4 linked regions of the Saccharomyces cerevisiae S288C genome follow. The protein of the gene in region 2 purifies or fractionates together with the protein of the main gene of each other region. This does not show direct contact. Each region holds a gene or a part of one and is shown on either strand. Other genes may lie near its edges. The genes, in order: MOD5, MEF1, GRX5 and MTF1.

Region 1 (4,358 bases), on a different chromosome or scaffold from region 2:
CAGTCGACTTTGAACCCATTTTCATAGGCCATTTAAAATACTTTGACGAAGATTTAAGATACGTTAATAGTACAAAGGAAGAAAATATCAAACTTATTGAGGAAGTAAACCTAAGTAAGAAGAATAACCCCGGCAGAAGCGGGATTGAACCAAAGAAAATGGTAAGAATAGATCCCAGAGAGCTATATATTGAAGATCTGAGATATTCCTTCAAACTGCTTGATGAGGTGAAAGAAAATTTAAGTGCCGGCACAGCATTTTACGAAAATTTAATTACTTCTACCAGCAATCTGTACAATGAGGTACAGGAATATGATACAGCAAGAAGAGCAGAAAAAGCTAGGCTTGATAAGAGTTTGACATTTGAAGACCAATGATACCTGTCCTCATTCATCTATAAAGTATATTTTGAGCTTGTCATCCTCCCTTTCCATTATCAAAACCCAGCTTCACTTATGTAGATATATACACTCAGGATAAACTCCTTTTTCCTAATATTTTCATTCCACAGTCTCCTTCTTGTTTATTTTCCATTTTTCAAAATCAGCTTGACGAGTGTTTCTTTTCAAGTTGGATTTATGTCTTCTGCTACCCAAATGAATTTTCCAATATTTTTCGCCAATAGCTACAACGTTCTTACCATCTGCGTTACGACAGACGTTGCAAGTATAATGTGTCCAATCGTCCAATTTCTTCATCGTAGTTTCGCCTTTAGACAACAGCTCCTCTAGGGCTTTAGGTGCCCTTTCTTGCTTGATGGGTCGATTGCTAATAAAGTCATTGGAAATAGCTATCGCTCTTTGAGATGCATTCGTGTCCCATTGAGAAAGGTCAGTGGCATCCAGTAAGTATATATCGCCTTTGATGTCAGGTATCAGCATTTTCTTGATCCATTTTACCTGCCTTTTTGCGTATTGACGTGTTCTCGTTTTCATTCTTTCTATACAATCCTCCAATTTTACTGTGTTGTCATCAGTTTTCCCGGTTAGCCACGGTAAGAATTCTTTGAAGCCAATAACTTGCCAAACACCATTCTCGCATTGCTCCGGCGTAAATTTATTTTGACTGTAATATTCATATAATTGCTTGATTTCTTGCAAGGCGCCTCTTTCTAGCATGTCGTCTACACGATCGTCAAGCCTTTGGAAAAGTGGCTCCGGCTTACTGTATAGCCATAAAAATAGGGTATCAAACTTCAAAGTTATTTTTTGTTCGTTAAATGTCTCGCTTGGTTTTTTGCCCGTCTTATAGTAGATTTCCAACATTCGTTGTACCCTCCTGTAGTCATTAGGATGGTATTTGGTAGCTATATCAGGATCACACTTCACAAGTGTGTTATAAATCACATCAGGGTCAGTCGATTCCAAAATATCGAGCTGCTTCCTTGTGAGCTTACGTTCGGATGATTTCGTATCGACCCGCTTATTGAAAAGAGTCTGCAAATAATAATGAGTACCCCCAACAACGATGGGTATCTTACCCCTCCGGTGAATATCTTCAATAGCGTTCATGCATTCAGTTTCAAAACGATGGGAATAGTATTCTTCTGACCAATCTACGTGATTCATTACATGGTGAGGAATGCCCTCTCTTTCTTGAAGCGGATGTTTATTTGTTATAATAGGAATATCTTTATATACCTGCATAGAATCCGAATTGATAACTTCGCCATTAAATTTTTGTGCCAATTGTATGGACAACTGAGACTTTCCTACTCCTGTTGTACCAGCAATCACTATAACTTTTTTAGACATATTTAAGCAACCTTTAAGCGGTCCCTTTAGCATGAAGATTTTTGGTTCTATTTACAAAAGATATGTACGTATAGTAGCTTATCTAATAAACTATACAGCCCTCACTGAGCTTTTCTTCTTTTTTGCCATTTTAGAATTTTTTTCTGTTTTAATTTTCTTTCCGATGAGCGAAAGATGAACGTGTGCTTTCGCCTGATTCAGTAATCAAGATCTTAGATCGACGTTGCCATCGAGGAGCAGCAACATAAGGAACTTTTACCTGATTTTAGCTTATACGAGCAAAATTCGCTCTTTATCTTTCGAAGGCATGACCACAATAGCGCAAGTAGATATGTAAATAAATCTTCCTAAACCGGTCTCGGAATGCAAAGAGCTTCGTATTTCAAAATTACCCGAATCCTATACATGTCAGGAATCAGGTTATACTCCCTAGCTCTTTTCCTGTTTGTCCATCTTTTTCCTATCATAGATGGTTATGGAGGCGGCTGTTTCTGTAAGAACTACGGAGTCGCGGCCCGGAATGGGAGAAATGCGAAGAAGCAGGCCGCAAGTGGAAGAAATTATTGGGGTAAAAGATCAACTAATGAACTCTGGATATAAAAAGTACAGTTAGCGTTTCTTCCCAACTTTCTTATGCTGCTATCAGCAAATGCATTTGCATAGGCTACAAGCCACAAGCCACAAGCCAATAAGGCATATGAATAATAAGAGAAAAAGTGCCTAATTGCTGTTTATATCAACCGTATGGCGTGCTTTAGCTGCAATAAACTTGTTTTCGCCGATTACCACTAATGGCCGACTTCCACGGATCCCAAAAATAGTGCCACGTCGGTACGGTCGGGCATAGTGGTTATTATTTCCGGGTTGTGACCCGCTTCGGATAATTGATCTATCCCCGAGGTAATAGGCCCGTGCGGTTCCGTCTTCATGAAGCTGCAGGGGCTCCGCTTAAAAGCCCCTGACGGCTCACCTTAAATCCGTGTTACGACACTATGCCAAATGAAGGAAACACTGAAATGATTGCATACCCGCACTCGTGCTTACATGCTAATTGTCCTTGTCAGAGCAAACGGTACCGGAGGCTTGAATGTGTTTATGTGTATATATATATTCGCCTGTATGGAAAGTTATAGGTTGTCAATTTGTTGTACCTGACACATCGATTTTCTAGTCATCACTTTCCTGAAAATTACAGAATAAAGATACCATCTTATACACACACATACACACACAAAGAAGCATAGACATCGTATACATATATTTTAAGTTTTACTAATGCCTTCTTCTTTGACAAAAACCGAATCTAACTCAGATCCTCGAACAAACATACAGCAGGTACCAAAAGCCTTGGACAAAAATGTAACTAATAGCGGCAACTTGGATTCGACTTCTTCTTCGACAGGGTCAATAACAGAGGACGAAAAAAGATCAGAACCGAATGCAGATTCCAATAACATGACAGGGGGCGAGCCAATTGACCCAAGAGATCTCGATTGGGACGGGCCCGATGACCCAGACAATCCGCATAATTGGTCCTCTTTGAAGAAATGGTATACTACTATGACTTCAGCTTTTCTTTGTTTGGTCGTCACAATGGGTAGTTCCCTATATGTTTCTTCCGTACCAGAATTGGTAGAAAGATATCACGTTAGTCAGACTTTGGCGCTTGCTGGTTTAACTTTCTATCTTCTGGGTTTATCGACTGTCATCGGCGCTCCATTAAGTGAAGTGTTTGGTCGTAAGCCTGTCTATTTATTTTCCCTACCTGTGTCAATGCTTTTCACCATGGGTGTTGGGTTATCCAATGGCCACATGAGAATAATTCTACCCCTAAGGTTTTTATCAGGTGTCTTTGCATCCCCCGCCTTATCCGTTGGATCAGGTACCATCCTGGATATCTTTGACGTGGACCAGGTCTCCGTCGCAATGACATACTTTGTTCTATCTCCATTCTTAGGGCCAGTTTTATCTCCTATTATGGCAGGATTTGCTACTGAAGCCAAAGGCTGGCGTTGGTCTGAATGGATCCAATTGATTGCGGGCGGTCTAATCTTGCCATTTATTGCGCTCATGCCAGAGACCCATAAAGGTATTATTTTAAGAAAGCGTGCCAAGAAGAGAAATATAGCCTTGAAGAAGTTCAGCAGGGAAGCTCAGAAAGAATTTTTAAAAACCACTGTCACTATTACAATCTTAAGGCCTTTAAAAATGCTTGTCGTTGAACCTATTGTATTTGTTTTCAGTGTTTATGTCGCTTTCATATTCGCCATTTTATTTGGATTTTTCGAAGCATACGCTGTCATTTATCGTGGTGTTTACCACATGTCTATGGGGATATCTGGCTTGCCATTTATTGGTATTGGTGTCGGGTTATGGATAGGTGCTTTCTTTTACCTTTACATCGACAGAAAATATCTCTTCCCTAAACCACCAGCTGGCACTCAACCACTCACCGAAAAAGAGAGAACTTCTAAAAGGACTACCCCTTACAGAGGTGCAAGAGACGCTGAAACAGGTGAATTGCTACCCGTTGTTCCAGAAAAATTTTTAATTGCCTGTAAATTTGGTTCTGTAGCTTTGCCTATCGGCCTGTTTTGGCAAGCC
Region 2 (5,454 bases):
TAGGTACCCCAGAATCTGTCAAACCCGCAAACGCATCACATGCCATTCGTTTGGGCAATGGCGTGGCTTGCGATCCCAGTGAGATAGAGCCTATCCTAATGGAAATCCATAATATCCTCAAAGTGGACTCGAACTCAAGTTCATCTTAGAGCGAATAAAATGTCACCGGCGCTACTATCCCTTAGGAGATTGTAACCCCTCTCCTGAATTAATTCAAAATAAAATTGAAAACTGTATAAGTATATACATAAATATATCCATACACACTAAAAAGACATATTCATACTGCCTTGAGGATAGAGAACACCATTGAGCATGACTGACTTAACTACACAAGAAGCTATTGTTCTAGAGCGACCTGGTAAAATCACCCTAACTAATGTCAGCATCCCAAAGATTTCAGATCCTAACGAAGTAATCATCCAGATCAAGGCGACAGGAATATGCGGGTCAGATATCCATTACTATACCCATGGAAGAATAGCCAATTACGTGGTAGAATCACCAATGGTGCTGGGACATGAATCATCAGGAATAGTGGCCCTCATAGGTGAGAACGTCAAGACACTTAAAGTAGGAGATAGGGTGGCACTTGAGCCCGGAATACCTGACAGGTTTTCACCGGAGATGAAAGAGGGCAGATACAACCTGGACCCCAATTTAAAATTTGCTGCGACACCTCCCTTTGATGGGACCTTGACAAAGTATTATAAGACCATGAAAGATTTCGTCTATAAACTTCCTGATGATGTGTCATTCGAGGAAGGAGCACTAATAGAGCCATTATCAGTGGCAATCCATGCTAATAAATTAGCAAAGATCAAGTTTGGAGCCCGTTGCGTCGTCTTTGGAGCTGGGCCCATAGGTTTGCTAGCCGGGAAAGTAGCCAGTGTCTTTGGTGCTGCAGATGTTGTTTTTGTAGATCTATTAGAAAACAAGCTGGAAACGGCTAGGCAGTTTGGTGCCACCCACATCGTCAACTCAGGTGATCTCCCACATGGCGTTACTGTAGATAGTGTTATAAAAAAAGCAATCGGCAAGAAAGGTGCTGACGTTGTGTTTGAATGTTCTGGTGCAGAGCCTTGCGTTCGAGCAGGCATCGAAGTCTGTAAGGCAGGTGGAACGATCGTTCAAGTTGGAATGGGACAAGAGGAAATACAATTTCCCATCTCGATCATTCCAACAAAAGAACTGACATTCCAAGGCTGTTTCCGATACTGTCAAGGTGATTATAGTGACTCCATCGAGCTAGTCTCTAGCAGAAAACTCTCGCTTAAACCATTCATTACACATCGCTATAGCTTTAAGGATGCTGTCGAGGCATTCGAAGAAACAAGCCACCACCCGTTAAATAATATCAAGACGATCATTGAGGGCCCGGAATGAAGGAAAGAAAATGTAACTTTTGGCATCCAAGATGCACAATACATTTGATTTTTTTTATATGTCTTTTATATATATATATATTAATATGATAACTTTGCATTATTATTGTGGGGATGGAACTTCACAAGCGGCCGAAATTTCCAAGATGAAAATATCTAAAAAACGAGATTTAATAAAGGAGATTGAAACGGAAGAAGGTAGAAAGCACTGCAATATATCACCAATATGAGTGTCCAGAAAATGATGTGGGTGCCTCGAAAAATGGTTGGAGGTAGAATACCCTTTTTCACATGTTCAAAAGTTTTTTCAGGTTTCTCGAGAAGGTCTTTTCATGAGAGTCCACTTGCTCGTTCTACATATGAAGAAGAAAAAGTTTTGGTGGATGAAATCAAACAAAAACTTACTCCAGACGATATTGGAAGATGTAATAAATTGCGTAACATAGGTATATCTGCTCATATTGACTCCGGAAAAACTACTTTCACTGAACGTGTTCTGTACTATACAAAAAGAATCAAAGCCATTCATGAGGTTCGTGGTAGGGATAATGTTGGAGCCAAGATGGATTCTATGGATCTTGAAAGGGAAAAGGGTATTACTATTCAGTCTGCCGCTACTTACTGCTCTTGGGATAAAGAGGGCAAAAACTATCATTTCAACTTGATCGACACTCCAGGTCATATTGATTTCACTATCGAAGTGGAGCGTGCTCTTAGAGTACTAGACGGTGCAGTTCTTGTTGTTTGTGCTGTTTCAGGTGTTCAATCCCAAACTGTGACCGTGGATCGTCAAATGCGTAGATATAATGTTCCAAGAGTAACTTTCATCAACAAAATGGATCGTATGGGTTCAGATCCCTTCCGTGCAATAGAACAACTTAATTCGAAACTAAAAATACCTGCTGCTGCTGTACAAATTCCTATCGGATCGGAATCAAGCTTATCTGGTGTCGTTGATTTGATTAATAGAGTTGCTATTTACAACAAGGGTGATAATGGTGAAATTATAGAAAAAGGGCCAGTGCCTGAAAATTTGAAGCCATTAATGGAGGAAAAAAGACAACTTTTGATCGAAACACTTGCTGATGTGGATGATGAAATGGCAGAAATGTTTTTGGAAGAAAAGGAGCCTACCACGCAACAAATTAAAGATGCTATTCGCAGATCTACAATTGCTAGGTCTTTTACACCAGTTTTGATGGGATCCGCACTGGCAAATACTGGTATTCAGCCCGTTTTGGACGCTATTGTAGACTACTTACCTAATCCCTCTGAAGTGTTGAATACAGCTCTAGATGTGAGCAACAACGAAGCCAAGGTTAACTTAGTTCCTGCGGTGCAACAGCCATTTGTTGGATTGGCATTCAAATTGGAAGAAGGCAAATATGGTCAATTGACTTATGTTCGCGTATATCAGGGGCGTTTAAGAAAAGGTAATTACATTACAAATGTAAAGACTGGTAAAAAAGTGAAGGTTGCAAGATTGGTCAGGATGCATTCTAGTGAGATGGAAGATGTTGATGAAGTTGGCTCAGGTGAAATTTGCGCTACTTTTGGTATTGACTGTGCTTCTGGAGATACATTCACTGATGGTAGCGTTCAATACTCTATGTCATCCATGTATGTTCCAGATGCTGTTGTCTCGTTATCGATTACGCCAAATTCAAAGGACGCATCGAATTTTTCGAAGGCTTTGAACAGATTTCAAAAGGAAGACCCTACATTCAGAGTGAAGTTCGATCCTGAATCTAAAGAAACAATTATTTCTGGGATGGGTGAATTGCATCTGGAGATTTACGTTGAAAGAATGAGACGTGAATATAATGTGGACTGTGTCACGGGTAAACCGCAGGTTTCCTATAGAGAATCTATCACCATCCCGGCAGATTTTGATTATACACATAAAAAACAATCTGGTGGCGCTGGTCAATATGGTAGAGTTATCGGTACCTTATCTCCCGTGGATGACATTACCAAAGGCAACATATTCGAGACCGCTATTGTTGGTGGCCGTATACCGGACAAGTATTTGGCTGCATGTGGTAAGGGTTTTGAAGAAGTATGTGAAAAGGGACCATTGATCGGTCATCGTGTTTTGGATGTTAAAATGCTAATCAATGATGGTGCTATTCATGCCGTGGATTCTAATGAATTATCATTCAAAACAGCTACTATGTCAGCCTTCCGTGACGCCTTCCTGAGGGCACAGCCGGTGATCATGGAACCTATCATGAATGTTTCAGTAACATCGCCAAACGAGTTTCAAGGTAACGTCATCGGTTTATTGAATAAATTACAAGCAGTAATACAGGATACCGAAAATGGTCATGATGAATTTACATTAAAAGCAGAATGTGCCTTGAGCACGATGTTCGGTTTCGCCACCTCATTAAGAGCCTCGACTCAAGGTAAAGGTGAGTTTTCATTAGAGTTTAGTCATTACGCTCCAACAGCGCCCCATGTTCAAAAAGAATTGATATCTGAGTTCCAAAAGAAGCAAGCGAAGAAATAGTCAAGTCCTCATGGGCAAAACAGTCTTGTAAATAACAAATTCCAATAAAAAGGAATTAACAAAAGGCAGGAAATAAAATTAATATACACACTAATTAAGTAAATTTAAATAAAAAGATCTTTCTGTAAATACACGAATGAAAAGAAATTTTGAAGAATATCATTATCTAGGAGGTATAAGTATCATCCGTCTTAATTTTATCCAAAAGATCCTCTATCTTAGGGCCCATCAAGGGCTGGCCTGTCCTTGTTCTTTGAGTCAATTTCTTCTTTCTATCTTCTCTCCTCTGAAATTTTTCCTTCGAAACTCTGATTCTTTCCAATTGCTCGTTTCTTTGCTTGTTTAATTCATCTTTTTGCATTCTCTTTCTTTGTTTCTTGATCTCCTTCTTCTCGTCTAGTTTCTTCTTTCCCTCTATTGCCCTGGCTTCCTTAATCTTCCTTACAGATTCTTTTGCCACGGTTTTTGGTTCCTTTTCTGGTACGGCATACCCTTCATCTTTTAAAGCTTTAAGGTATTCCTTTCTCAGTCTAGTTTTCTTTGTAATACTTCTTTGGATCTCCTTAACCTTATACTCCCTCGTAAACTTCTTTCTATTTTGATTTTGCTTGGCTGTACCCATATTGATTTTGCTCAGTTGCTTACTTGACCACCTTCCTGTATCATTCTTGTGAAAGCACTTTTAATACTATCGCGATGAGGTTTGATTTTGAAATTTTTCATTGTTTGAAGGAAAAGTAACTTTTCGGGCCAATAGAGAAATAAAAATAAAAAATCATGTAGTGTAAGTTAAAGTGGGATTTCTAGGTGACGCTAACGCAGCCTCGATACCCAGGAAAGAGGCCGCAATAGTGTACAAAGCTTCGAATTTAAGTGATTAAGGGTGTTGGAGTATACTGAAACACGCTTTTTGGCCATTATGAAAAGGTGTGCTCCTGCCGTATTAAGAAATTATAATTATAAGAAGGGTATATGGAGTACCGGCGTACCTGATCATATAAGGAAGCTGCTTCGAGATAAATCGACGTCACCATTATGCTCACAGGATGAGAGAAACCTGGTCTCATATTTTATGGCGCGCGGAAGTGTTCCTCTAAAGTCGGTTGGCAGTGGATTAACAAAGAAAGCAACAACATCAATAACAAGTAATTCAGCTACCACAACATTTGAACGACAGTACCTTATAAAGTATCTTTATCGGCACCAGGCCTATGGGAACGTTATAAAAATTGCACAGAAGTTTCTTTATACCACTATTGGTTCACAAAGATTGTTAAAACAGGATGCCTCATTACCTGAATTGAAAAAGTTCCTTCTCTCTTTATTGATTTTACAAAGAGGTATTCAATTAGATCAGGCAATCTCTGATATCATACAACGGTTTCTATTAACACAAAAGACAATGGTGATAGACCTCATTAACTCGATTTTCTCTAGGATGGTTATAATGAATATGCATGAAGAAGCTGTATATAAATGGGTCAAATGGATGAAACTAGTGAATGGACATTGTGAATTTACGAATTATATGGAGAACAAGATAGTTTTGAGAAACTT
Region 3 (3,684 bases), on a different chromosome or scaffold from region 2:
GAATCTTTTGTTGGTTGAAGTTAACGTATCGAATAAATAGTAAGTCCCTGTAGCATCTATATGTTCATGTAATATATTATTGTTCTCGTTTGTTTCCAATAATTGTATCTTTTCAACTAGATCCACAATCCTATTCTCAACCTTGTCAATGGTTTCTCCGAGTTTTAATAATTTTTCAGCTAGCATCTGAATATCATCAGTCTCAGAAAGTTTTTCCTCTTCTGCCTTTAAACCATTTAGTATGGTTTTAAACCTATTTAAGTTTCTTTGATATTGTTTCACCTGTTCATCTTTAATAGAAACTTTTCTTAATGATGATGGCGTCTGTCTGACAGTATCATTTGTTTTGACTTTCGATTGAATCCGCGCAGAAATGTTGTCGTCAATAACATTTCTTGTTTCATCCCTCACTGGGGTCGCCATGTTGATAATTAGAGGTAAAAAATTAGTATTAATGAAGAAGTGAGTACTGATCTTCTTATACTAAATAAGAGAGGTATATAAAACACACGCCGATTGGTCATATTAATCATGACCAATATAATAGTGGTTCCGGTAGTTACTATACATTGATGTGACGACTCATATTCCTCATATATGTACCTACCATATCATGTTCAACTAATAGGTCTTTAACACAGCTTCAGTATTGTCTGAGCTTCTCGTTTAACATTCCTTCTGCAATAGGCGCAATCACACTTAAACGTATACGAGTTGTACATTAATATACGATGTAAGCATTAGATTGTTACCATAGCAACTCATGTCACTATTAATTACTCTCGTTCCAACAATCAAAGAATATTAAATGAACTTCAAATATTAAGTAATTCTCCTTGTTCTGCTTCTACGGCTCTAATCCATATTAGCATACCCGATTAATATAATTGCCTGCGATCGAATACCCAATGTACTGGATTTTGTTGGAACAAGTGATTTATCACAGTTCACACTGTCGTGAAGTAATTTGACGGTATATATCATATATAAACAATATTCAATGGTGAAATCAGCAGTTTGCGTTGAATTAAGAACATATACTACTTGAACATAAACTGGGGTTCATGTAAATGGAAAATATGAGCCATCGCATTGAGCATATGGCAGTCATAAGCAGTTTTGATTCTGCTTAAGATTCAATTAAAAGTAATTGAAAGAGTAAAATGTTTTATAGTTCAGTTAGTAACTTCGAGCAAGCTAGTGCTTGCCATTTAGGCCATTGAATAATTCAGTACGAGTATATGCTTATTATTATGGATAATTGATGCACTAGAACACAAGGAGAACGAGTATTTTAACAAATTGAGCTATTACAAAAGGAATACTTAGATACGGCATTATCTGACTTAAGGCTTCTTCATTAGTGATTGATTAAAAGAAAAAATAGAATGCAAAAGCTAAAGGAATTAAGCGAAACTAGGTTCCAGTAACACTTAATTTAGTAGCCTTATCAATATTAAGAAAGGATGGTAACCTCTAATATATCACTGCCATGTAATGAACTTCTATATTTTAGGGATTTAGGAGGGTTCTGATCTGAATCACTTATGTGTTTTATATTTTCTACATACAGCGCGACTGCTGTTTTCTATCCATAATTATTTTAAGCATGCGCTATCGTTTCTACCTAATGACAAATTGTGGTAACAGCCAGATTTATCTCAATATACATTAGTAGTCAATATCTCAAACGACATCGAATGCCGCACATAGCCATTTATTATAACAGATGAGAACCACATCACTTTTTATTACAAGGTGTCCATTATGACGACTGTAGAAGTATGCAAATCATAAGTTAGCCCAAAGAAGACATTTAGATTTTCTTACGACAATACTAATTAAGGTACCACGAACAAAGAGAGAACAGTAGGTATGTTGTATTGCTACGCCAACTTTTCTTGTGATCAAAAAGTTCAATGCATTCATTCTTCTTTATAATATAGTACAAACTGTTAATTTACTACATACGGAATCATGAGATTCTAAATTTAGTATACAGAGCTTAATTTATTCAATAAAGCATAACTAGTGCCGTAAAGAGTCTAAACCGGTATTTGGCACTGATCTGAGCTTATTGGAAAAACGTTACCCGACCAAAATAAATCACTTCTAGGAAGTAAAGGTATAAAGTATTGATGACAAATGCGTTCTAGTCCCAAAGGGACAAGAAGTTGTATTACTCTTTTCACATATATCAAGGCCACAAAGGTATCTGTTTACTTTTTGACTTTAGCAAAAATTTGAGGAAATCAGACAATGTTTCTCCCAAAATTCAATCCCATAAGGTCATTTTCCCCCATCCTCCGGGCTAAGACTCTTCTTCGTTACCAAAATCGGATGTATTTGAGCACAGAGATAAGAAAAGCTATTGAAGATGCCATCGAATCGGCTCCAGTGGTTCTTTTCATGAAAGGTACTCCTGAATTTCCCAAGTGTGGATTTTCAAGAGCAACCATTGGATTATTAGGAAATCAAGGCGTTGACCCGGCCAAATTTGCGGCTTATAATGTTTTAGAAGACCCAGAGCTACGTGAAGGTATCAAAGAGTTTTCAGAATGGCCAACTATTCCACAGTTATATGTAAACAAAGAATTCATTGGTGGATGTGATGTTATTACAAGTATGGCACGCTCTGGTGAATTGGCCGATTTGCTAGAAGAGGCACAGGCATTGGTACCTGAAGAAGAAGAAGAAACCAAAGATCGTTGATTTTGTTACCACTGGAAGCAAAATAGGAACTGGTGGCCGAACACTTTAATACTCGTGTGCATAATAGGCCTTTACGATCCATATTTATATATGCATGTACATTTGCTATTTTTTTAAAGATTTGTAATGTATTCTCATGCCTTTAGACTTGTAAATAACAGATTCTCTACTTACAAACCCCTCTCTTTGCTTTGCCAAATGAATTGACGTTATAAAACAAAGAAGTGAGAATTATGAATATATTTAATATTCCCCGCATAGACTTGAATCAAAAAACGTTAGTTTTAGAATGACAGAAGCCATATCTTCGTTCTGATTCAACGTGCGAAAGACGCGACAGACATTTGTTGGGGTTGTCTTTGTTACTCTCTTGATTTTCGATAGATTCCGTACTGTTACCAGTTTGCTTTTCCCCCATTTTTTTTAACGTAAAAGGATTGGAAGATAATAGGCGAGCTCAATTTTATTGCCCTGCGAAGCTTTCAAATATGTTAGTCAAAGGATCAAACTTCCTTTTGAAGGTGATAGGGATATAATGAACACACAATTGTGCCTTTAAGCCATTACTCACGAGTGGGATAGAAATGAAATTCTTTTCTTTTAAATGGTATTAATAATTAATATATTAAATAATTATATTGATTCTATACATAAAACATTAGTGTGAAATTTTCGGAAAATAATAATAGAAAGTAAAATCAAATGTAAAATTAAAAAAATGATGTTAAAGGACGCCAAAATTTGTGAAAAAAAATTGAAAATAAAAATTGTGTGTTAAACCACGAAATACAAATATATTTGCTTGCTTGTTTATTTCTTCGTGATTTTATTTTCGTCACCTGGAACTGTTTGGAAAATGTTGGTATCTTTTTCATGTCTTTCCTTTCTTGGCCCATTAAACCATTTCTTGAAATTCAAAACAGACTTCAAAGACCACACCTTAACTCTTACAACATAGTAACAAATCAACAT
Region 4 (4,179 bases), on a different chromosome or scaffold from region 2:
AAGAAAAATCGGTGTCGTGCCTTAATATATATCAATGCTATACGTCATAGAGTAGAGTCGTATAGTGTATAAGAGTAATATATAGATGATAAAGAGAACTTACTCATCACCCTCTGCACCAAATAGCATCATCATATCGAGATCGTTCTGGTCGAGTGTTTCCTCTGCGGGGGCTTCATCAAGTTCGCGCACCACCTTGTTCTCTTGTATGTGTTCCCGTTCATGCACATTATCCTCGTCCTCATCGTTTTCTTCGTCATCCTCCTCGTCTTCGTCCACTTCATCCTCTTCCTCTTCTTCTTCCTCTTCCTCTTCTTCTTCCTCGACGTTATTTGCAGTTTCTGCGTCAGAGCGATGTTGATGTTGTTTCTGGACAGAATCTTCGGTTTGTTGTAACTGCTTACGTTTTAGTTCAGCCTCCTTCTCGAGCTTTTTAATGCTATCTATGAACCTGCTTTTCAAAAGAGGATTCGTGGCTTTACTTAATTTATGCTTGGTATGGGCCAGGGTGGTCTCTAGTTCGTTCAATTCGTCCGCAAGTAATTCAGTGTGCTGTCTGTTTTCGTCTTTTTCGTCATCAGATTCACTTTCCCCACCAGCAGCTTCAATGTCACCGTCGTCATCATCGTCATCATCTTCTCCGCCTGTGTCTTGATCCACCTCATCACCGACTTCCTCTTGTTGTTGCTCCTTGTCTCCCTCGGCACCGCTACCTTCCTCTTCACTTTCAAAAGCAGCGCCTAGGTCAAGATCCTCCTCTTCTTCTTCTTCCATTCCTTCTTCTCCCTCTTCTTCTGCACCTTGTTTTCCTACTGCCGAAGCAATTGTGTGTATCTCTTCTTTCTTTAAAGCAGGTCTAGATAAAGGCTCTCCAGGCTCCTCTTTGAAATTTTCCCAACTAGAAACACGCTCTTGCCTCGCTTGCAGTTCACTTTTATCAACCAGATCATAGCTGACCTCTTCTGCCTGTTTATCTTGCTTCAAAAGCATATCAACCACTTTTTCTACATAGTCTATTTCATTAGGGTCCATTTTCCGTCTAAATCGTCTATTTCGAACATTGTACAAAGGTGGTGATATTCCATGTTTGTAGTCATAGCCCTTCAAAGCTATTTCTTTCAAATGTTTAGCCTCCATATCACTTAAAGGCGCACCATTGTATCCTTTTAAGAAGGTTTCTTTATTCTCCCAAATTTCATCCTCTATGCCTTCAAAATGCTTAACAACCAGATCTTCTGTATCAGGGGCTTCTAGGGCATATACTTCTTCCTCTTCTTGTATAGGTCTTATGCATAGTAGCATTTGTGATACGTCAAATGTCTTCAGGAGGTTTTTTCTATCGACGCTCTTGTTCACTTCTATAACTGTAGGCAAATCTACTAGAATGGCACCATACATTACATCGTTTATTGTTACGACAGCGTGTCTCTCGTTTTTCCACTTGATACTTATCCCAGAATAATCACCTGATTCTAACGAATTTTTTACAAACTCTAACTGTATGTCTGGAAGTATCCTTAATATCACACCACTCTCTATGAGAGGGTCATCTTCAATATCAGAGGCTTCTGAGTCGTACGCTTCCCCAGGAATTCTAATAGGTTTGAGACGTAGCTTTGGCGCCTTGTGTATCTTCTTAACTGGTTCTTCATTTTTTTTCAAGTTTAACTTTAACTTCAATGAATTCTTCTTCTCTTTGCCGTCAGCACTCTCTTTCTTTTTCTTTAGGTTTATCTTTAATTTAGGCTTTGGTTTGATATCTTCATCAGTTACCTTTGTCTTTATGCGAATTCTCTTTAGTTTAGGCTCGCCTTCTAATGGTTGATCCTTCTCTCCTGGTCCTCTGGGTTTTTTAATTCTTATAACAGCCATATTTACGTCGATTATTGCGACTAATTTGAATGGTAACACTGTCTCTTGTTTATGTAGTTCTTCCTATTCTTCTCGCTTTTATTATTTTTGCTAGCAAGTTTTGTCTTGAAATTTTATTTACTGTTCTCATCGGCCGAATAACAGCGATATTATTGTATGATGATAATAGAGATGAAACTTTACAAATGCGGTTACTACGTCAGTCAATACCATTCTTTGAAGTAAGAAGGCTCAGCAACTATGTCTGTTCCAATCCCTGGTATTAAAGATATCTCCAAACTTAAGTTCTTTTATGGTTTCAAATATTTATGGAATCCAACAGTATACAATAAAATCTTTGATAAGCTGGATTTAACTAAAACGTATAAACATCCAGAAGAATTGAAAGTACTTGACCTCTACCCTGGTGTTGGTATACAATCAGCTATTTTTTATAATAAATATTGCCCCAGGCAATATTCTTTATTAGAAAAACGCTCAAGTCTCTACAAGTTTCTGAATGCAAAATTCGAAGGGTCTCCATTGCAAATTCTAAAAAGAGATCCATATGACTGGTCAACCTACTCGAATCTAATTGACGAAGAGCGAATATTTGTTCCTGAAGTTCAATCCTCAGATCATATTAATGATAAATTTCTAACCGTTGCTAATGTGACGGGGGAGGGTTCTGAAGGTCTTATAATGCAGTGGCTGTCCTGTATTGGAAACAAGAACTGGTTGTATAGGTTTGGTAAAGTAAAGATGTTATTATGGATGCCAAGCACAACAGCTAGAAAACTTCTAGCTAGGCCAGGCATGCATTCTAGATCCAAATGTTCAGTAGTAAGGGAGGCATTTACAGATACTAAACTCATTGCCATATCAGACGCAAATGAATTGAAGGGATTTGATAGTCAATGCATAGAAGAATGGGATCCCATTTTATTTAGTGCTGCGGAAATATGGCCTACAAAGGGAAAGCCAATTGCGTTAGTAGAAATGGACCCAATTGACTTCGATTTTGACGTAGATAATTGGGATTATGTCACGAGGCACTTAATGATTTTGAAAAGAACACCCTTGAATACTGTCATGGACTCGCTGGGACATGGTGGCCAACAATATTTTAATAGTAGAATCACTGACAAAGATCTGCTAAAAAAGTGTCCGATTGATTTGACAAATGACGAGTTTATATATCTAACGAAATTATTCATGGAGTGGCCTTTCAAACCAGATATTTTAATGGATTTTGTTGATATGTATCAAACAGAGCACTCTGGTTGAAAAAAGTGCTTTTAAAATTTACTTCATTATTTAATAAATATGTGATTTTAGCGTGTGAATATAAAAAATACATAGAACTCAATCTTCGTTAACACGGAACCATCTTGTAATCAAGAAGCGAGAAGCGGAACTAAAACTTTAAGAAAAGGAGCTCTACGAACCGTCAAAGCTAAATTGATCGATAGAAATTGCTTCTTGAAACTTTACATTCTATGTACTTTACAAATATACTTTACAAACTTAGCCATTTATATTACTTTACAGTTAAAAATCCATCAGGAATTATTCGTCTGCTTTTTGAGATTCATGGCTAGCGACATACTCAGTAGCTTTAGCTTTAACGTATTCAATGGTCTTTTCGTCACCTTCAGATTCCTCAAATTGTAACCATTTATTAAAGAAAAACTTAGCCTGCTTCCTTGTTATTTTTTTGGTTATTATTCTCTCAAATAAATCTTCCACCTTCTTCTTATCTTTTGCCTTCACTTCCTGGTCTACGTAAACGTTCCACAGGTCAATTCTCTTTGGCGCATCAGCAACCAAACCTTCGAATAATGACCGACCCCTTTCTGGGTCACCCTTTGCAAATTCTAATTGAGCAAACTTGCGGACAACCTCGATATGATTACGCTTTGGTAGGGCCTTCAAAGCATTACCTAAAATAGTACGTGCCTCTTGCTCTTCATTGTGGCTGATCAAAAAATCACCCCACGATACCCAGATAGAAACTTTCTCGCCGCCAAATTTCTTAGCTGTAGCTTTGAATAATTCTGCTGCTTTGTCGAACTTTTCACTTATTTCATAAATACCAAGCAGTTTTGTATGAATAGTATATGAGTCCATATACTGACAAGCCCTGCTAAACACTTCTTCTAAAGTTTCTTCGGTACCAAAAGTATTTTCTAAATTCAGCATTGCAATCCAAATATTCAACTTCTCGGCTTCTTCTCTGAAGTTGATGGTCTTTAGCGCACGTTCTGCGAGCTCTCGAGCCTTCTCGATCTCACTCAGTTGTAGTTGGAAAGCCATATAGTTCATCCA

Evidence for each region.
Region 1: the proteins of MEF1 (region 2) and MOD5 fractionate together in Saccharomyces cerevisiae (co-fractionation; one large-scale study listed by BioGRID). This does not show direct contact.
Region 3: the proteins of MEF1 (region 2) and GRX5 fractionate together in Saccharomyces cerevisiae (co-fractionation; one large-scale study listed by BioGRID). This does not show direct contact.
Region 4: the proteins of MEF1 (region 2) and MTF1 fractionate together in Saccharomyces cerevisiae (co-fractionation; one large-scale study listed by BioGRID). This does not show direct contact.

What each region holds. Positions count from the first base shown.
Region 1 is NC_001147.6:835,103-839,460, reverse strand, and holds MOD5 (tRNA dimethylallyltransferase), read right to left. Parts: upstream 1,788-4,358; coding exon 501-1,787; downstream 1-500. Other genes in the region: RIM20 (Rim20p), read left to right, coding at 1-377; TPO4 (Tpo4p), read left to right, coding at 3,030-4,358. UniProt on the Saccharomyces cerevisiae protein: Catalyzes the transfer of a dimethylallyl group onto the adenine at position 37 in the anticodon loop on a specific subset of tRNAs both in the cytosol and the mitochondrion, leading to the formation of N6-(dimethylallyl)adenosine (i(6)A).
Region 2 is NC_001144.5:270,073-275,526, reverse strand, and holds MEF1 (Mef1p), read left to right. Parts: upstream 1-1,611; coding exon 1,612-3,897; downstream 3,898-5,454. Other genes in the region: RGR1 (Rgr1p), read left to right, coding at 1-149; D-xylulose reductase XYL2, read left to right, coding at 316-1,386; FYV7 (Fyv7p), read right to left, coding at 4,064-4,519; PET309 (Pet309p), read left to right, coding at 4,817-5,454. UniProt on the Saccharomyces cerevisiae protein: Mitochondrial GTPase that catalyzes the GTP-dependent ribosomal translocation step during translation elongation.
Region 3 is NC_001148.4:442,320-446,003, forward strand, and holds GRX5 (monothiol glutaredoxin GRX5), read left to right. Parts: upstream 1-2,259; coding exon 2,260-2,712; downstream 2,713-3,684. Other genes in the region: ATP-binding cassette multidrug transporter PDR12, read right to left, coding at 3,523-3,684. UniProt on the Saccharomyces cerevisiae protein: Monothiol glutaredoxin involved in mitochondrial iron-sulfur (Fe/S) cluster transfer. Receives 2Fe/2S clusters from scaffold protein ISU1 and mediates their transfer to apoproteins, to the 4Fe/FS cluster biosynthesis machinery, or export from mitochondrion.
Region 4 is NC_001145.3:722,514-726,692, forward strand, and holds MTF1 (RNA polymerase specificity factor), read left to right. Parts: upstream 1-2,112; coding exon 2,113-3,138; downstream 3,139-4,179. Other genes in the region: TATA-binding protein-associated factor TAF7, read right to left, coding at 100-1,872; RRP5 (Rrp5p), read right to left, coding at 3,421-4,179. UniProt on the Saccharomyces cerevisiae protein: Mitochondrial transcription factor that confers selective promoter recognition on the core subunit of the yeast mitochondrial RNA polymerase. Interacts with DNA in a non-specific manner.